Linked DNA regions of Lonchura striata. Each later gene encodes a partner of the first gene's protein in a complex. Links are inferred from orthologs where the notes say so. Each region holds a gene or a part of one and is shown on either strand. Other genes may lie near its edges.

Evidence for each region.
Region 2: the proteins of SIRT5 (region 1) and PRDX1 are in contact, whole or in part, in a crystal structure (PDB 8Z54), measured with the Homo sapiens proteins. The link is inferred for Lonchura striata from reciprocal best matches to the Homo sapiens genes SIRT5 and PRDX1. Residues at the interface, in NP_001363727.1 of Homo sapiens: Ala86, Tyr102, Arg105, Gln140, Ile142, His158, Val220, Val221, Trp222, Phe223, Gly224, Glu225, Asn226, Leu227, Leu232, Val253, Val254, Tyr255, Pro256; in NP_001189360.1 of Homo sapiens: Phe195, Ser196, Lys197, Gln198.

What each region holds. Positions count from the first base shown.
Region 1 is NC_134603.1:88,965,800-88,973,151, forward strand, and holds the start of SIRT5 (NAD-dependent protein deacylase sirtuin-5, mitochondrial), read left to right. Parts: upstream 1-4,133; 5' UTR 4,134-4,305; intron 4,306-4,538; 5' UTR 4,539-4,562; coding exon 4,563-4,671; intron 4,672-6,728; coding exon 6,729-6,862; intron 6,863-7,352. UniProt on the Homo sapiens protein: NAD-dependent lysine demalonylase, desuccinylase and deglutarylase that specifically removes malonyl, succinyl and glutaryl groups on target proteins.
Region 2 is NC_134611.1:13,332,955-13,340,304, forward strand, and holds the start of PRDX1 (peroxiredoxin-1), read left to right. Parts: upstream 1-4,200; 5' UTR 4,201-4,299; intron 4,300-7,012; 5' UTR 7,013-7,023; coding exon 7,024-7,129; intron 7,130-7,350. UniProt on the Homo sapiens protein: Thiol-specific peroxidase that catalyzes the reduction of hydrogen peroxide and organic hydroperoxides to water and alcohols, respectively.

The DNA.
Region 1 (7,352 bases):
AGCTATTGTACATTTTAACCTGTCCATATGGAATGTGTATTCTCTAGAGTCCTTGACTTAATTCTCTAATTTTTTATAAATAATATATATATTATATATATATATGAATGTGTATCTATAGATTGTCTGCCAGTAGGCAGATATGGCTGCACACTAAAACACAGTTAAAGCTGATTGTAGATAACTGAGGTACTGGACTATTTGTTACACAACAACTTGGGAGATATATTTTAAACAACAAAAGATATTTTATTGAGGAAAAAACAGGATGTGAATCCATTTTGGAAAAAAGACCCAACCGCTGTTCTTAATTACCAAAGAACTTGTTTTAGACTGACATATTTGCTGTTTATATCTTTCTATTGTAAATGTTTTAACTGGTAACTTGGTGCCATATTCCTTTCAGTCACTGGGCACCATGCAGCCTTCCATGTTTAAGCACACTGAAATATCCAACTGCTTCATATGTTTTGTCTTCCTTGAGGCCTGCCACTGTGCTGACTTGGCATTGGAATGACTGATGATGCCTGAAGCTATGAGTCTGGCATTTCACATGTTAGCAAAAGCCAGCTGGGCAGTTTGACTGCAGAAACAGTATTACTCCAAGGGTGTGAGAGGACAACATTCTGGGTTTTTTAGGGGTTTTAGTTTTTTTGGGTGCGGGGTGGGGAGAAATGGGAAATAAAGAAGCAGTAAATGGATCATGACTGCAGACTTTGCACTTGTTACTTGCTGGTTTATTATCAAGATGAAATAGAACCTGCTAAAGTAATTTTAATCTGTAAAGTTTATTTTAATAATGGAAATGATGGAGGGATTTATGTCTGGTGCTTATGAATTCCTAAGAAGGTTGTTCCACATGTAGATACTGTAGATGCCTGTACAAGTGTTCTGGATATTTGTAAAGCAACATGGTAAAAAATGAGTGAAGTGAATGGCCTGCTGTATCTTTTCTTTGTTCCTTAGCAAGTGAATGATTGAGATACCTGGGACCTTACTGAAAAGCTGCTGTTCTTTGATTGTTGTGTACAATAAGCGGACTCTCGTATTTTACTATTTACTGTAAAGACCTGTAATTTATATATTGCCATACTGTATTTAATTGGTGCAGACCTGTTGTGTGTTAGAATACAGACTGTTTACTTGGGATTTAAAAAAAATGTGTTACTTGTGTTCGGTACAATTAGGCTTAATGCTCAAAGAGGGAGCTGTTTCTAGCTGGTGCTGCTCAGATGCAAAGGACTTGGTAAAAATGCTGAAGGCTAGTGATGTTGGAGTGGAAGACTAGAGGGTATGAACCTCTCTTACCACTGAGCCTCAGAGAAGAGCAGCCCCTTTGAATACACATTCCTCACCTTCTGCTTTCCCTGTCCTTCCCAGGAGAGGGAGCAGAGGTGGAGAACTCCTGCCAGAGAACAGAATCCCGATGGTCAAGGGGAGATGGGACAAGTTCTTGGAAGACAGATAAGAGAGGATCATTGCTAAATATATAAAGGCCCCAGCCGCTGGCATCTGGGAGGGCAATGTGCTGGAGGAGGCAGTGAAAGGAGGGGCTGTGAAGTTCAGTGTACTTGCCCTTGCCATGGCTTTTGTCCCTTCTAAGACAGGATTCTTAAGTGTTAATTGATTTTGAAATGTGTATCTTTGCAGAACAGTTCATGCTTCTGGTGTCCACCTTGAGTTGCTCTCACTGCATTAATGACACTGCTGCTGAAGGAAAACTACTGTAATAGAAAAAGATTTTATGCAGAATTATTTTATTGGGCACAGATGATTGTGGAATACTGCCAGGTATCAATGGCAAACATGCCAGCATCTTGAAGTTAAGTTTAGATGTCACTTTAATATTTTTATAAACATTTTAGGAAATCTACTTACACATTGGCATTAAAATATTTTTCCAGGATCAGTACAAACAATTTGGAAAATCAGTGTGGCCATTTTCTTACGGCACACATTCAGTAGTTACACCAGGTTAGCAAATCAGCCAGCATCATCTGGGCTATTCATTGTTTCAGGCTTTGGAAACACTGGGATAATTGTGCTCTTGGAGTAGGCATTCTGTATATGCCAAAGAGACGAAAGCAAGCCAGCCTTGTGTCCTTCTGTACCCATTTCACAAAAACTATGCCATGGTGAATTCTGGTTTTATTAAAAAACCTGTACTTTTGCAAACCTTGCAAGTGAACATGCCCTGACCTGGGTTGATGTAAAATTAGGAGCACAGCTGACAGGTGCAACAATGTGATAGGAAGATGAAAGCTCTTTGGTTGATGTGCTCCTCAAAATTCTAGTACAGAAACAGAATCTTTTTTTTTTTTTTTGTTAGCGATGTTAGACTAGGATTCTGCTGGTTTGAACTTTGGATTCAAAGTGGAAGAAAATTGTGGTGATAGTGCAACTGCAAATTGCTTTTTTTTTTTAAGATTAAGTAGCAGCTAAAATACACTGCCTAATAAGCACAGTGTAGCTTATTAGACAGTCTGTACAGTGTACAATCTGTAGCAAGATGTCAATTAAAAAAAAAAAAAACAAAACACCAATTATGATAATGAATAACGTTATGCACAGCCAATCCCTCATTCAACAAATCTGCCATCCTGTTTTCCCAGTCTGCACAGAATTAATGGATTTTGACATCAGGGTCGTTAGAATGCTAAGTAAGATCACGCTGGCTTTCAGCTTGTTTTCTGAGTTTATGACGCGCTGTTTTTCCGAGCACGCTTACTTTCCTGGAGACACGGAGGGCTCGGGGAGCAGCTGTGACAGCCCACCAAGCACCAGCACAAGCGTTTAGTCAGCAGCGCTCGCTGTCAGCATTCCCCCACCAAAGGCTTCCCTCGAGTTTGCAGCTGGAGGCAGAGTACGAAGCGCCGGTCCTCTGTAAACAGCACGGAGTGCCGTGGAGCAGTGTAACGGGGGGTGTCGGCTGCCAGCCCCTGGGAGCAGCAGGGCTGTTCCTGCCCTGCGCTCGGGCGAGCTCGCTCAGGTAACTCGCCCTGTGCCGGCGGCAGTGGGGAACCGGAGCTGCCCCCGGCGCTGGACAGCCGGCAGACTCGAAAGAGCTCGGGGCTTGCTTTCAGCCTTTCCCCTCTCTGGGTACGTGTTTTGGGGGCCTCTTCATCTGCTTAGCTGGTCATTTACGGAATCCAAAGGGAAGGGAAAATGTGGCAAAACCTCTGTCTGAAAAGGACCGCAATGATTAAGGTTGTTGGGGAAGGGTGGGGAGGAGGCGGCTGGATGAGAGCAGGCGCTGCCTTCTTTATGCACCAAAACATGCTAAAAACAGTGTTTCCTCATTAAAAAATAAATAAATAAACTGTGTGCTGTCCAAATGCAGCGGAGTTCTCATGCGTGAACTGCGAACGGCCACGGGCGGACCGCAGAGAGGAATGACGCTGGAAAGCCACCCAGCTTCCCTGACCTATTTGCGTCTCATTCCAGCTGATACGCTCCGGCAAGGCGCAGGGACAGCGCAACGCCGGGGAGCGACACGCGGCTGCCTCCAGTGCATCCATCCACCATCCCGTAACGCCGCGGCCTTTCCCCCAGGAGTGCGGGCGGGACGTGCGGCGCCGCAGGCCCGGGGCGAGGCGCCGCCCGGGGCGGGGCGCGGCGGGCTGGCGTGAGGCGGGCGGAGCCGCGAGTGAGGCCCGCGGCCCCGCCTCCCCTCACGGCGGCCCCGCCTCCCCTCACGGCGGCCCCGCCTCCCCTCACGGCGGCCCCGCCTCCCCTCACGGCGGCCCCGCCTCCCCTCACGGCGGCCCCGCCTCCCCTCACGGCAGTCCCGCCTCCCCTCACGGAGGTCCCGCTTTCCCCTCACGGCGGCCCCGCCTCCCCTCACAGCGGTCCCGCTTTCCCCTCACGGCGGCCCCGCCTCCCCTCACAGCGGCCCCGCCTCCCCTCACGGCGGTCTCGCTTTCCCCTCACGGCGGCCCCGCCTCCCCTCACGGCAATCCCGCCTCCCCGCACGGAGGTCCCGCCTCCCGCACGGCAGTCCCGCCTCCCCGCACGGAGGTCCCGCTTTCCCCTCACGGCGGCCCCGCCTCCCCTCACGGCAGTCCCGCCTCCTCTCACGGCGGTCCCGCTTTCCCCTCACGGCAGTCCCGCCTCCCCGCACGGAGGTCCCGCCTCCCGCACGGCGGCCCCGCCCGCCCTTGCTGCCCCTTCGCCCTTCTGCGGGCCGGCAGCGGCACGTAGGCTCGCCGCCCCCGCGGGTCCGTCCCTCGCCTTTCCCCTTTCTCTTACCATGCCGGCGGGTCCTGGGAGCCGCCTCGGGTTAGCAGCGCAGCTCGGGAGCGTGGCGTAAGTTGAACGTCGGCCGAAAGCCCCGCTGTGGAGCGGGGCTGATGTGCCCCGTTCTGAGCAAAAGCGGTGACCCCGGCCCCAGGGTCCGGGCTGGGGGATGGCTCCGTGTTCTGCAGGTGCAGGAGGAATTCCGTGTTCGCAGCTGGTTCTCCAAGGAGAGCCCCTCACGGGGAGCTGGCAGAAATGCGCACCCTGCCTGGGCCGCTGACGTTTGATTTATTTCTCCCCAGGTGAAACACTTCCGAGGGATCCCGATGTGTCTGTTCCAGTCTGCCGCTAGAAGGCTGGTTCCCCAAGTGCGTTGTGGACTTAAGGCCTCGTCTTCAAAGAAGTTTGGCTTGGAAATGGCCCGTCCTAGTTCAAGTAAGGCGTGTATTTGTTTGCTTTAGCACCCCGGACAGCTTTTTAAGGTGGATTTGAAGTGCTAGAAGGTGTTGTGTGCTAGGTGAAATCCATGGCTTAATTAAAAATGTTTAAAACAGTTGAGGTTGCTTTATTTGTCTCCCAGACTAGTAAAATTACCTTTCTACGACTGTATTCTGTATAGTTCCATAAACTGTTACAGTCATCATGGTTACAACATAAACACCTTTTTAATGTTTATAATTTATGCACATAAGTATGCAGTGGTTAATTGCATTTCCCTTTCATAATGCTAATGAGTAATAAAACTAATTCCTCATTTCTTTGTACAAGAATGGGCCTTGAGTATTTGTGACAGTTCAGGAGCTGGGTAACCCCAGGAGCCCTGTTCAGACTGGGAGTTAAGGCTGACCTCTTTTCACCTGTTTGGGGGTGTTTTGGTTTTGTTTTTCAATTTGACAATGTGCCTTAACTTGAAAACTGCACACAGGTACAACAGCTACTCCCTAATGTCAGGTGGTCAAGGCAAACTTGCTTTTTCTGCTGCCTTGAGCATCAGGATTTGGCTGCTGCCAGACACCTGTCTGGGAGGGCTTTTGGCCTGAGCTTTACACATCAAGGGCTTGTGAGGTTTGGTTTGCAGCAGCAGGTGGGGCATCAGAATAGGAGTGTTCTCTGCCCAGTCCAGGGGCTCTGTACTGTGGGTCTTTGGGACCTCTCCAATGGCTCTTTCTCCCTACAGGAACTTACCTGTCTTTGGGTGGGCTTTTGTGTGTATAGGGGGCAGGGGGTAGTTTTGATTTCTATCTGAAAGACCACCTAGTAAATTGTGAGGATTAGGGTTGTGGCGAGCAGCTCAAAGCTGGAGGCTGCCCACTCATGGGACACCATAGGGAATCCATACTGAGGTCACTGTTGTTAAACACCTTCATTAATGATCTGGACAATAGATTGGAGTGTATCCTGGGCAAGTTTCCACATAATATGAAGCTGGGAGGAGTGGCTGGTACTCGGAGGGTCCTGCCCCTGGGAAGAAATAGACCCAGGACAGGCTTGGGTGACCAGCTGGGCAGGAATGTCCCTGGGGATCTGGTGGGCACCACGTTGGCCTTAAGCCAGTGATGAGCCCTTGTGGCAATGATGGCTCCAGGGCAATGCATAAAAACACTCCATGGTGTTTGTCTGCTGTGAGGTGGCCAAACAATGGATTGAATTGTGCAGGAAGGTTATGGAGTCTCTGTCCGTGTCCATACCAAAAGCCACCCCACAGAACACTGTCCAGAGCAGTCTGCTCTGGCTGACCCTGCTTAAGGAGAGGGGGTTGAACAAGACAATCTCCAGAGGTCCATTCCCACCTCAGCCATTTATTTTGTGATTCTAACCTGTGTTGCTTTAAAATTCATATCTGAGGTAAACTGCAAAATATATTTTTCTTGTCTGTCTGCAGCTAACCTGTTCCTCTTTAATTTTGTCTTGACTCGCATAAAAAGGCAAAGGAAATTTTCAATCTTTTTCCCAAACTACCATGCAGGGGAAAGTGGTGGGAATAACACATTAAAAAATATAAAATACAGTTGCAAATCTAGAAAACAGAAAAAATGCCTCAAAAGAAAGCACATTTTCCCAAATTACCTTAATTTTGAAGGTGATACTTCATGGAGAAAAAAAACAAACAAAAACAACAACAAAACAAATGTATTTTTTTTTATCTCAAGATTTTAGTAACAATTGGGAAGCAAACTCTTCCTGGGTGGTGGTGCCAACAGTTGTTATTGGGGTAGCATCTAATGTGGGGTTTTAATTAAAGACTCTGCCTTTCCAGTATTGACTATAATAATGTTTAGCACATCCTGCCCTACTGAGCCTGCTCAGACACATATTTTGAGAATCTCCAGAAACTGCCCTTTAAATTACAACATAGAGAAGTTCAGGAACCAACTGTTATTCCAAAATTAAAGTCATGGGAGGTGTGTATGGAAGTGTGAGTGTGGCCTCTTAGGTGAGAGTGTGAGCGCCTGAACAGCTCCTTGTTTTCTCGTTTCCCTGCCCTGGCACAGACATGGCTGATTTCCGAGAGGTGTTTGCCAAAGCCAAGCACATCGCCATCATCACCGGAGCCGGGGTCAGTGCCGAGAGCGGTGTCCCCACCTTCAGAGGGGCTGGAGGCTTCTGGAGAAAGTGGCAAGCCCAGGTAGGTACTGGTGGCCCATGCCTCTAGGGCCACCTCTGTGTCCGTCACACAGGTGAGCATGGAGGGTCAGGAACAGGTGGAGGAAGAGGGTGGATATTGTCCCATCCAGTGCAGCAAGGACAGAGCTCTCCCTACAGCTGCCCCTGCAGCTCTTCTCTGTGCTCTTGGGGATCTGCTTCTGTCCTTCAGTTTATCAGCTGCTTGGGAAAAACAACATTCTAGCAGGCAGCTCTGGGTCTTTAAACCATCCTTGTTTTCCTGCAGTTCAGCTTTTTGCTCATCTTTTGACACCCTCACTGTTTTCCTACTGTGTGGGGCCTTTCCTGTTTTAAACTCTTTAGCATTTAAAACAAACCAAAATACCAAAGGAAGAACTGACAAAAGAGACTGGCTGTTTTCTTTTAATTTTGGTGTCTCAGAACACCCTTTAAAAATGCTTTAGGACTTGCTTTATTTTAGGGCAGGTTCTTTAATTCTCCCACAGGCTGTC
Region 2 (7,350 bases), on another chromosome or scaffold:
AAGCAACGAGTCTTTCAGCAGCTATGCATACTATTAATACGTATAGCTATGCAAACAGGTACATATTGGCGATACTTAAGCCGCTGTAACCGAGCAGCTCCCGCCGCACAGATCGGGGATAACCCCTCTCCATTCCGGCTCCCCTGCAGAGGCCGAGTGCGCCCACCTGCCCCTTATCGGGGCGGCGCAGGGCGGGCCCGCGCGGCGCGGGGCGCTGCAGGGGCGATAAGGGGCGCCGCCGCTCCCGCACTCACCGCCGGTACCGAGCGCCGCTCCCGCCGCTCCTGAGGCTGCTGCCCCCGCTGCTGCCCGGCCCTTCCGCTTCCGCCGCCAGCGGGCCGCGGGCTGGGGCGGCGCGGCTGCCCCTGGCGGGTTCAAATGTGGAAGTCCATTAAAGTCTGTCAGTGGGGGTTTAGCGGGGCTGAGCTGCCCTCACGGCCCTGCCCCCGGCCGGGCTCCCCGGCACCGACCCGCTCCTGTTACTGCTCGGGTTTGCCCCGCTGGTGTCCTGGGCCTCCCGGCCCGGGTCCCGGGGAGCTCAGGCAGCCCAGCCTCGCCGCTCCCGCCCAGCGGTGAAGTGATGCATGCGATGAGCTGCACCGCACGGGGGGGACAGACAAAAGATGACCCCGGCCCATAAATTTGACAAGAAGCGTTTGCATTTCCCTGGCTGCTGTTTGTCGCGGCCTCTTGAAGCTATTTCTACTTGTAGGAAGACCGAATATACCCAGTTTTATTTGCAGACCTAAATAACAGGAATCAAGGGAAAGTGAAAGGCCGGTTGCACTCGTTTTGCTTCACCTTTTGCACTCTAAGGTGTATAGAGAAGTCGCACTTTCCGAGAAAGCCGGGGTTTCTCTCCTTGCAGATGGCCAGGAATTCATTTCCTTGTTTGCTCGGGACCGCAGTGAGATTAAAGCAGGCTCATTCAGCTGAGCGCTTTCACTGCTGGGCAGGGACAGCCCTGCTGCTGCCAAATCAAAGCCTTCTGCTGGAGCAGACTTTGGCCTCTAATCGAGAATCAACTGTGCACCCAATCTTAAACACAACTTAAAACAGATAATCACTTCTGACTATTACTCCAAAAAAGGATCCCATCTTTACAAGCAATTTATAAACGTTCAGAACTTAGAGTAAGATTAGATCAGAAATAAGGCAATTGATACCTCTGGTGAGCCTCTTGAAGAACCTCTTACTTATTTCCAGAAAGAAGAATCTGCAGCAGATTTAGTCTTTTCTGTTCTGACTTGAACTGCTCAGGAGACTTAAAGGCACAAAGGTCAGTTAATCTCTTGGGCATGCATGTGACCAGATTTTCATGCTGCACAGCCTGTTTTGACAAAATAAGGGAAAGTGGAAGAAAAGTGCAAGGACAAGACAATTATAAGTAACAGGAGTCGGGAAATGAAAGAATAAAGGGGGAGGAATCACTGCTGATTTTGATTTATTTTTATGAAGACCCTGGCAAACACATCCATTTGAAAGTCCACAATCTTCAAGCAAAAGAAGATGCTTGAATTATGTAAATCTCACATATGAAAACTTTAACAAACCTTAGCCTCCAGCAATGTAATAGGGGAGTAAAAGAGAAAAGGTAAGGAAGACTGAAAAATTTTGTAATCAAAAGGCAGTGGTTATCCAAACATACAGTAATAGCCTGCTAATTGAAAAAAAATCAGAGAAGAGGTAATTTTGACCTAGAAATAGGTCAAAAACTTGATTCAAACAAGGAAAGCTATGTGTATTGTATATTTAATGGCATGCAGTTGTTTTCATTAAAATGATTGTGCACCAGCTGCTTGTGCATAAATGCCCCATGGAACTTGTTAGTTGCTGACTTGTTAGCTGACTTTCTGCACACATTAAATTAAATAGTCCCCACATGGCCAGGACTTGACTCTGACTGTGCCTCTGGTAGTACCATGTGTATGTAGGAGGTTTGGTATATTCAGGACTCAGTGGACTTTTGGCACATGCAGTGATGAACTCCACAGGGAATGTGTGAGGGTGTCCCAGTGTGCTGGCTTTTGAGGGCATGCAGGGACTACCTCTGCTGTGTGCCCCAGGGGCATGCCTAGTGTTGCCAAATCCATTACTATTCCAGCCAAATTTATCTTATTCTGGAAATCTTTGATACTCTTACACAAAACTATTCTCAAATGCATGGAAACCCAAACGTGTGGTAACGTTTTGAAACAGGTCCAGTTTCTTTGCCTTTCTTTTTACACACAGCAGGGCATTTGTTTTTTCACATCAGGGGCCCATTCCCAACCAAGATACATGAGAGATACTGTAATCAAAATGATGGATGTGAAAGCTAGTTTGGCTCCCAGTTTGGGTAGTTTCAGTGCTCTGGCACTGCAGGGCCTGCCAGCTCCTCTTTGTTGATAGATGAAGTACTTATTGTGTCCCTGTCGGAGTGGCTGGGTGCAGAGAGGCCTGCACTGGGCTCTGATGCTCCATGCTAATCAGGTACAAGCTGATCCTGTCTGGCAGCTATTTTATCAGTACAGGACAGCACAGTTACACTGCTGTGTGGAGAGAACTCCATCCTTCCAGCACCTGCGGGGGTAGACTTGCCCTTTCTTTCCTGGAAAACATGATTGTTTTAATCTAAGTAGCATCCTACATCTAAAGGTTGAGAAAGGCTACAGAAACCCAGGTGCTCACTGAACAAGAAGTGGCCCTGACAATTTATTATTCCAAAACCTCCAAAAACTGACATCTGGAAAGACAAGCTCAGAAATTAATCAAAAGTAATGAGGCCATAGACATCTGAATGGAAAGGCAATGCTTACAGCACAAACCTGGAACAACCTGCAGACCATACTGGGTATATTGTGCATCTGAAATTATGAGAAATCAGCATAACAAGCATTGAAGGAGTCAGAAACCACGAGAAAGTCATGATTACTTTGTCCATTTGTAAACATGCCAGCGTTGCAGTGGCACTACATTGTTCTGGAGGCTTTAATTAGAACTGCCTGACCTTTCAGGAGTTAATCTGTTCACAGGCTCATTGGCCTGAGGCGATGGAGAAGTATATACATATCTCAATATATAGACCTCAATTCTCAGTGCTGATGTTAAGAAAGTAAACTTCTTCCTGTAAAAGATTAAGCATGCTATAGCAATAGAAGTAGATAAATTAGTTGCATGGAAGTGAGTGCAGATTTTTTCCTGAGTACATATATGCATGTTATTTGCTTTCAGTATTCATTAAGGATTAAGTTCATCTGGTCCCAAAATGAGTCATCTCTGGGTGAACCACCACAACGGTATAGTTACCCAGCAACACTGCACAGTGATCTTGACTATAAACCTTTAAAGTTTGTTAATCCTTTGTGGTTTTCTCCTCATCAATATTTATAATCAAGTTTTAAAAAATATAAGAAGCACAACTGTAAACTGCAAAACAGATGAGTAAAAATCAGTTGGTGAGCACATTTATCACTTTTGACAGAAGCAAGCATTTTTGTCTTTGATATGGCTTAATGGCTTTAGATATTTATTATTTAATAAAATAAATTCACATTTAAAATCAAAATTTGGCCCTTAAAAAGTACCACACTCCTTGTTCACTTTTAGATTCAAAGACAGCACTTATGTGAAATCACTGATGTTAAACATCACTCAGAGCAGCTTCACTACAGAATGATGCAAAACTCCCAAGAGTTTCCATTTTACCACTGAAGCTCAACGATTAGACTTTAAACTTAGTTTTCATCTTTCTTTTGCTGACTTGCATGACTGGGATCGGTGTTCCCATTGATGGAGAAGAATCAATGAAAGCCTTGGGACGAGTATTAGGGAGAGGGGGCAGTGGGTAATGCAGAGCGAGAGGATGGAGATTTGACACCGCACCTGTGCAACACTGCGAACACACATTGTTCTGCTCGTGAGAGGTTTCGTTTTACTTCTGTCAATGACCAACACTTAATTCACATGAATGACATGCCAGTCATCCCTTTTCCTCTCTCAAAGTCCTGCGTGCCCTCTGAGGACTTCAAATAATCATAGCTAGGTCAATTAGGGCACTAAAAACGCCATCGCTTCTTGCACCAAGCCCATCAATCGTTTATAGCCGCGGCATTGGCGATTTGCGCGGCACTTCCCGGGACTCTCTCCAGGGAAGGATCTGCCAAGTCATGCTGCCCTGGCAGGCGCGGCCGCGCTCCCCTCCCCGCGCGTCCGCTCGCGAGATCGCGCCGCTATAAAGGGGGCGGCGCGGCGGGGCTGCGGCAGAGCGGGCCGGGCGGAGCGGCTGCTGTGAGCGGATCGGCGCTGCGCTGCGAGTGAGTGAGTGTGCGGGGCTCTGGGGGCTGCTGCGGGCTCTGCACAGTGTTTTGGGCTTTTTTAAAATTTAATTTTATTTTTGTGTGGTTTTTGTTACTGCTTTGGGTGGGTTTTTTGTTCGCTTTCCCCTCCCCCTCTGCTCAGATGCGCGCTTGAACGAGGCGCGTGGGGCGAGCCCTTTCTCCCCGCGTCCCGCTCCCGAAGGATCGCTGCCGCCTGAACCGCCGTGTTCAGTTTCCCCTGGTTTTGGTTTGGGCTTTTTTTGGCGGGGAGAGCGAGCAGAGAAGTCGTTCCAACGCTCCGGCCTTTATCAGCGCTGCGCGGGGCGGAGCCGCGGGCGGGGAGCGCGCAGGGCGCCCGCAGGGAGCCGAGCGGCCCCTTCCCCGACAAGGAGGCGGCATCTCGCTCCTAAGCCTTAAGAAACCCCAAAGCCGAGCGCTGGCTGCGGCTCGGGGACGTGCAGGGGGCGGGTTCCCCGGTCGCAGAGCGGGGGCAGGCTCGGGGGCCGCCCCGGGGCCCCACGCGTGCCGCGGTCCGTGCGCGATGCCCGCGGTTCGGTGTCGCACCCCGAGCGCGGCCGCGGCGGCCCGACCGCGTTGTGTGACAGTCTGGAGGTGGCAGAGGGGGAGGCTGATGGCGCCTTTTGAAACGGCCTTTCGCTTTTGTTCGAGGCACCCTAAAGGTATGAAATCGCTCGCTCAAGAGAGCAGGCCTGGCTCATTATAATTGCTGTTTGAAGATAATTGAGGCCGTCTGCGGCTATGAGCAACAAAGATACTCTGGCCGGATTCGAGTGTATTTGGTTTAAGGTGCTCATTCTACTTTCCTGCAGAATGAACGGAAGTAACAATGATTCTGTGGTCTGCTCCTCTGCGGGTTAGGAAATGCTGTGGCTAAAAATCCGAGCAGAACACGCGCGGACCCCACACGGAATAGCAGAAGGGTTGGCAGATCACAGCGGGTGCTCTGAGGAAAGCACATGGCTCTCTTGAAGTGTGAGGCAACCAAAGTCTCCTGCAAATATTAAAATATTTTAATGGTACCAGAGAAAGGGGCAATAACTTGTAGTTTAGAAAGGGGAAGTATCAAAGAGCAGTCTGACCTTGAATATCTAGTGAAATACTCCAGAGAATTGCTGATGGAATAAATATAGAAGGACTGGCATAGTACTGAGCAAAAGGATGACCTTGAGCTGGGATAACAGAAAATAATGTAATTCAGTGATAAAAATGTGGGGTCATGCACTCCAGGCTGAGCAGCTCTTGCTTATAAGATAAAACTTGCTAGTTGGAGGCATCTCAAATAAATACTGTGCTGTTCCCCTGTCCCTCTTGCAGAACTGCACTTTGAGAGCCACAGCTCCATTTGTGTGTACAGGATTCTTGATGTCCTCCTGCCAGGCTACTTCACTGCATCCTACAAATGATCTCTAGTCCTGGCCACCATATTCGCTCCCAGTCTGCTGCAGTTAAAGACTAAAAACCCTCGGATGAACATGGGGATAAGGAGCTTTGTTTTACAGTTAGAAATGCTGAGTGTGTGAGCACTTCTCAAAATGGAAATAAAGAGGTGGATTATTACTGTCAGGGTGTGTAAAAGAAACTTGCAAAAGGAAACCATTTCTAAAAAGGCTAGGTGTGGGTTCAAAGCTAAATGTTTGACTTGTGGGCTAGTTCTCCAGGAAAAAAAGTGTCTGGCAAGGGGGAAGGAGCCAAGAAATGAGGTGCTCTCAACTTTTTTTAGAACGGACTTGGTGCCTTGCAGGCACAACTTGGAACAATCCTTGGCTCTTGGCTTTCCTTAGCAACATGAGAGTCATGCTAACCTTTGAGGTGTTTTTCATCTCCAAGGCAGCCAGTGCTGCAGTGTGTAGAATGAAGTGAAATAGCTTCTAAGAATATTATGTGATCTGCAGAAATTACGTTTGTAGAGTTACCTATTTGAAAGATTATGCTCTGGAAGTCTAAAGAGTTGTACTACACTCCCAGACTGAGCAAAAATACTACACGGGATGTATTGCAGATGACAAGCTTTTGGGGGAGACAGCCAGAAGTAGCATTCTTTTATCCTTGTGTACCCTTTTTTTCTTTTTCAATAGAAATAAAGGGGAAACAACCTGGCTGTACTGATTTAGACTCTGTGAAATTGTAATTAACATAGAATGTGATTTCCATGTGTGCCACGAGTTTTTCTGGTTGCAAATAAAAAAGGATTGAATTGTTCAAAAGGTTTAAGTGTAGCTATGCAGAGCAATGTTCCCTGGAGATTAACAGACGTTATTTTCTTTCAGAATCAACAGGAAGCTCAAGTTTGAGGTCTTAAATTCCCTTGTAAAATTGAACAAGGTTCTTCTCCTTGAAAATTCTGAAAAACATACTTCCTACTCTTCCACCATGTGGAATGGTATGGTTTTCTGAGTACTAGTAAAGCTCTAGGCTAGGAGTTTGCCAGACGCTGAGCTATTAGTGGTTAGATAACCACTACTGTATCTTTAGGAGGCCATGTGCCATAGATTTTGAAGTGCTGGCAGTCTCTATAGTGGTTCAACTACCCAGGTGACAAAACTCATTTAACCCCTAAGCCTTGTTTAAAGACCAAGTGCTGATAAACTGTCTTTGGTGTTTAATCTAGATTGATAAGATGCTTTGAATAAATCCTTACTTCCAGCTGCAAATGTACTGCCATCTAAACTGTATTGGTGTTGACTCCTGTCTAGGTTAAATCAAGATGTCTTCAGGAAAGGCTTTCATTGGAAAACCAGCTCCTGACTTTACTGCCACGGCTGTAATGCCAGATGGACAGTTCAAAGACATCAAGCTCTCTGACTACAAAGGTAATTTCATGTGCTTCTCTAATTACACAGATGGTCTGGCCATAGGAAGGACTGGAGGGTATCTGAAGGTGCACCTTGGTTTGGCTTTGAATTGCTAGTGACCATTTGGCAGTGGGCTGGAGATCAGAACTTGTGCAGTGGTGGCTGCAGTATGCTTAGAAGGCTGTCAGCAGCCTGACTGAATGTCCCCACTGTGATAACTGATAACAGTGAGCATAAAA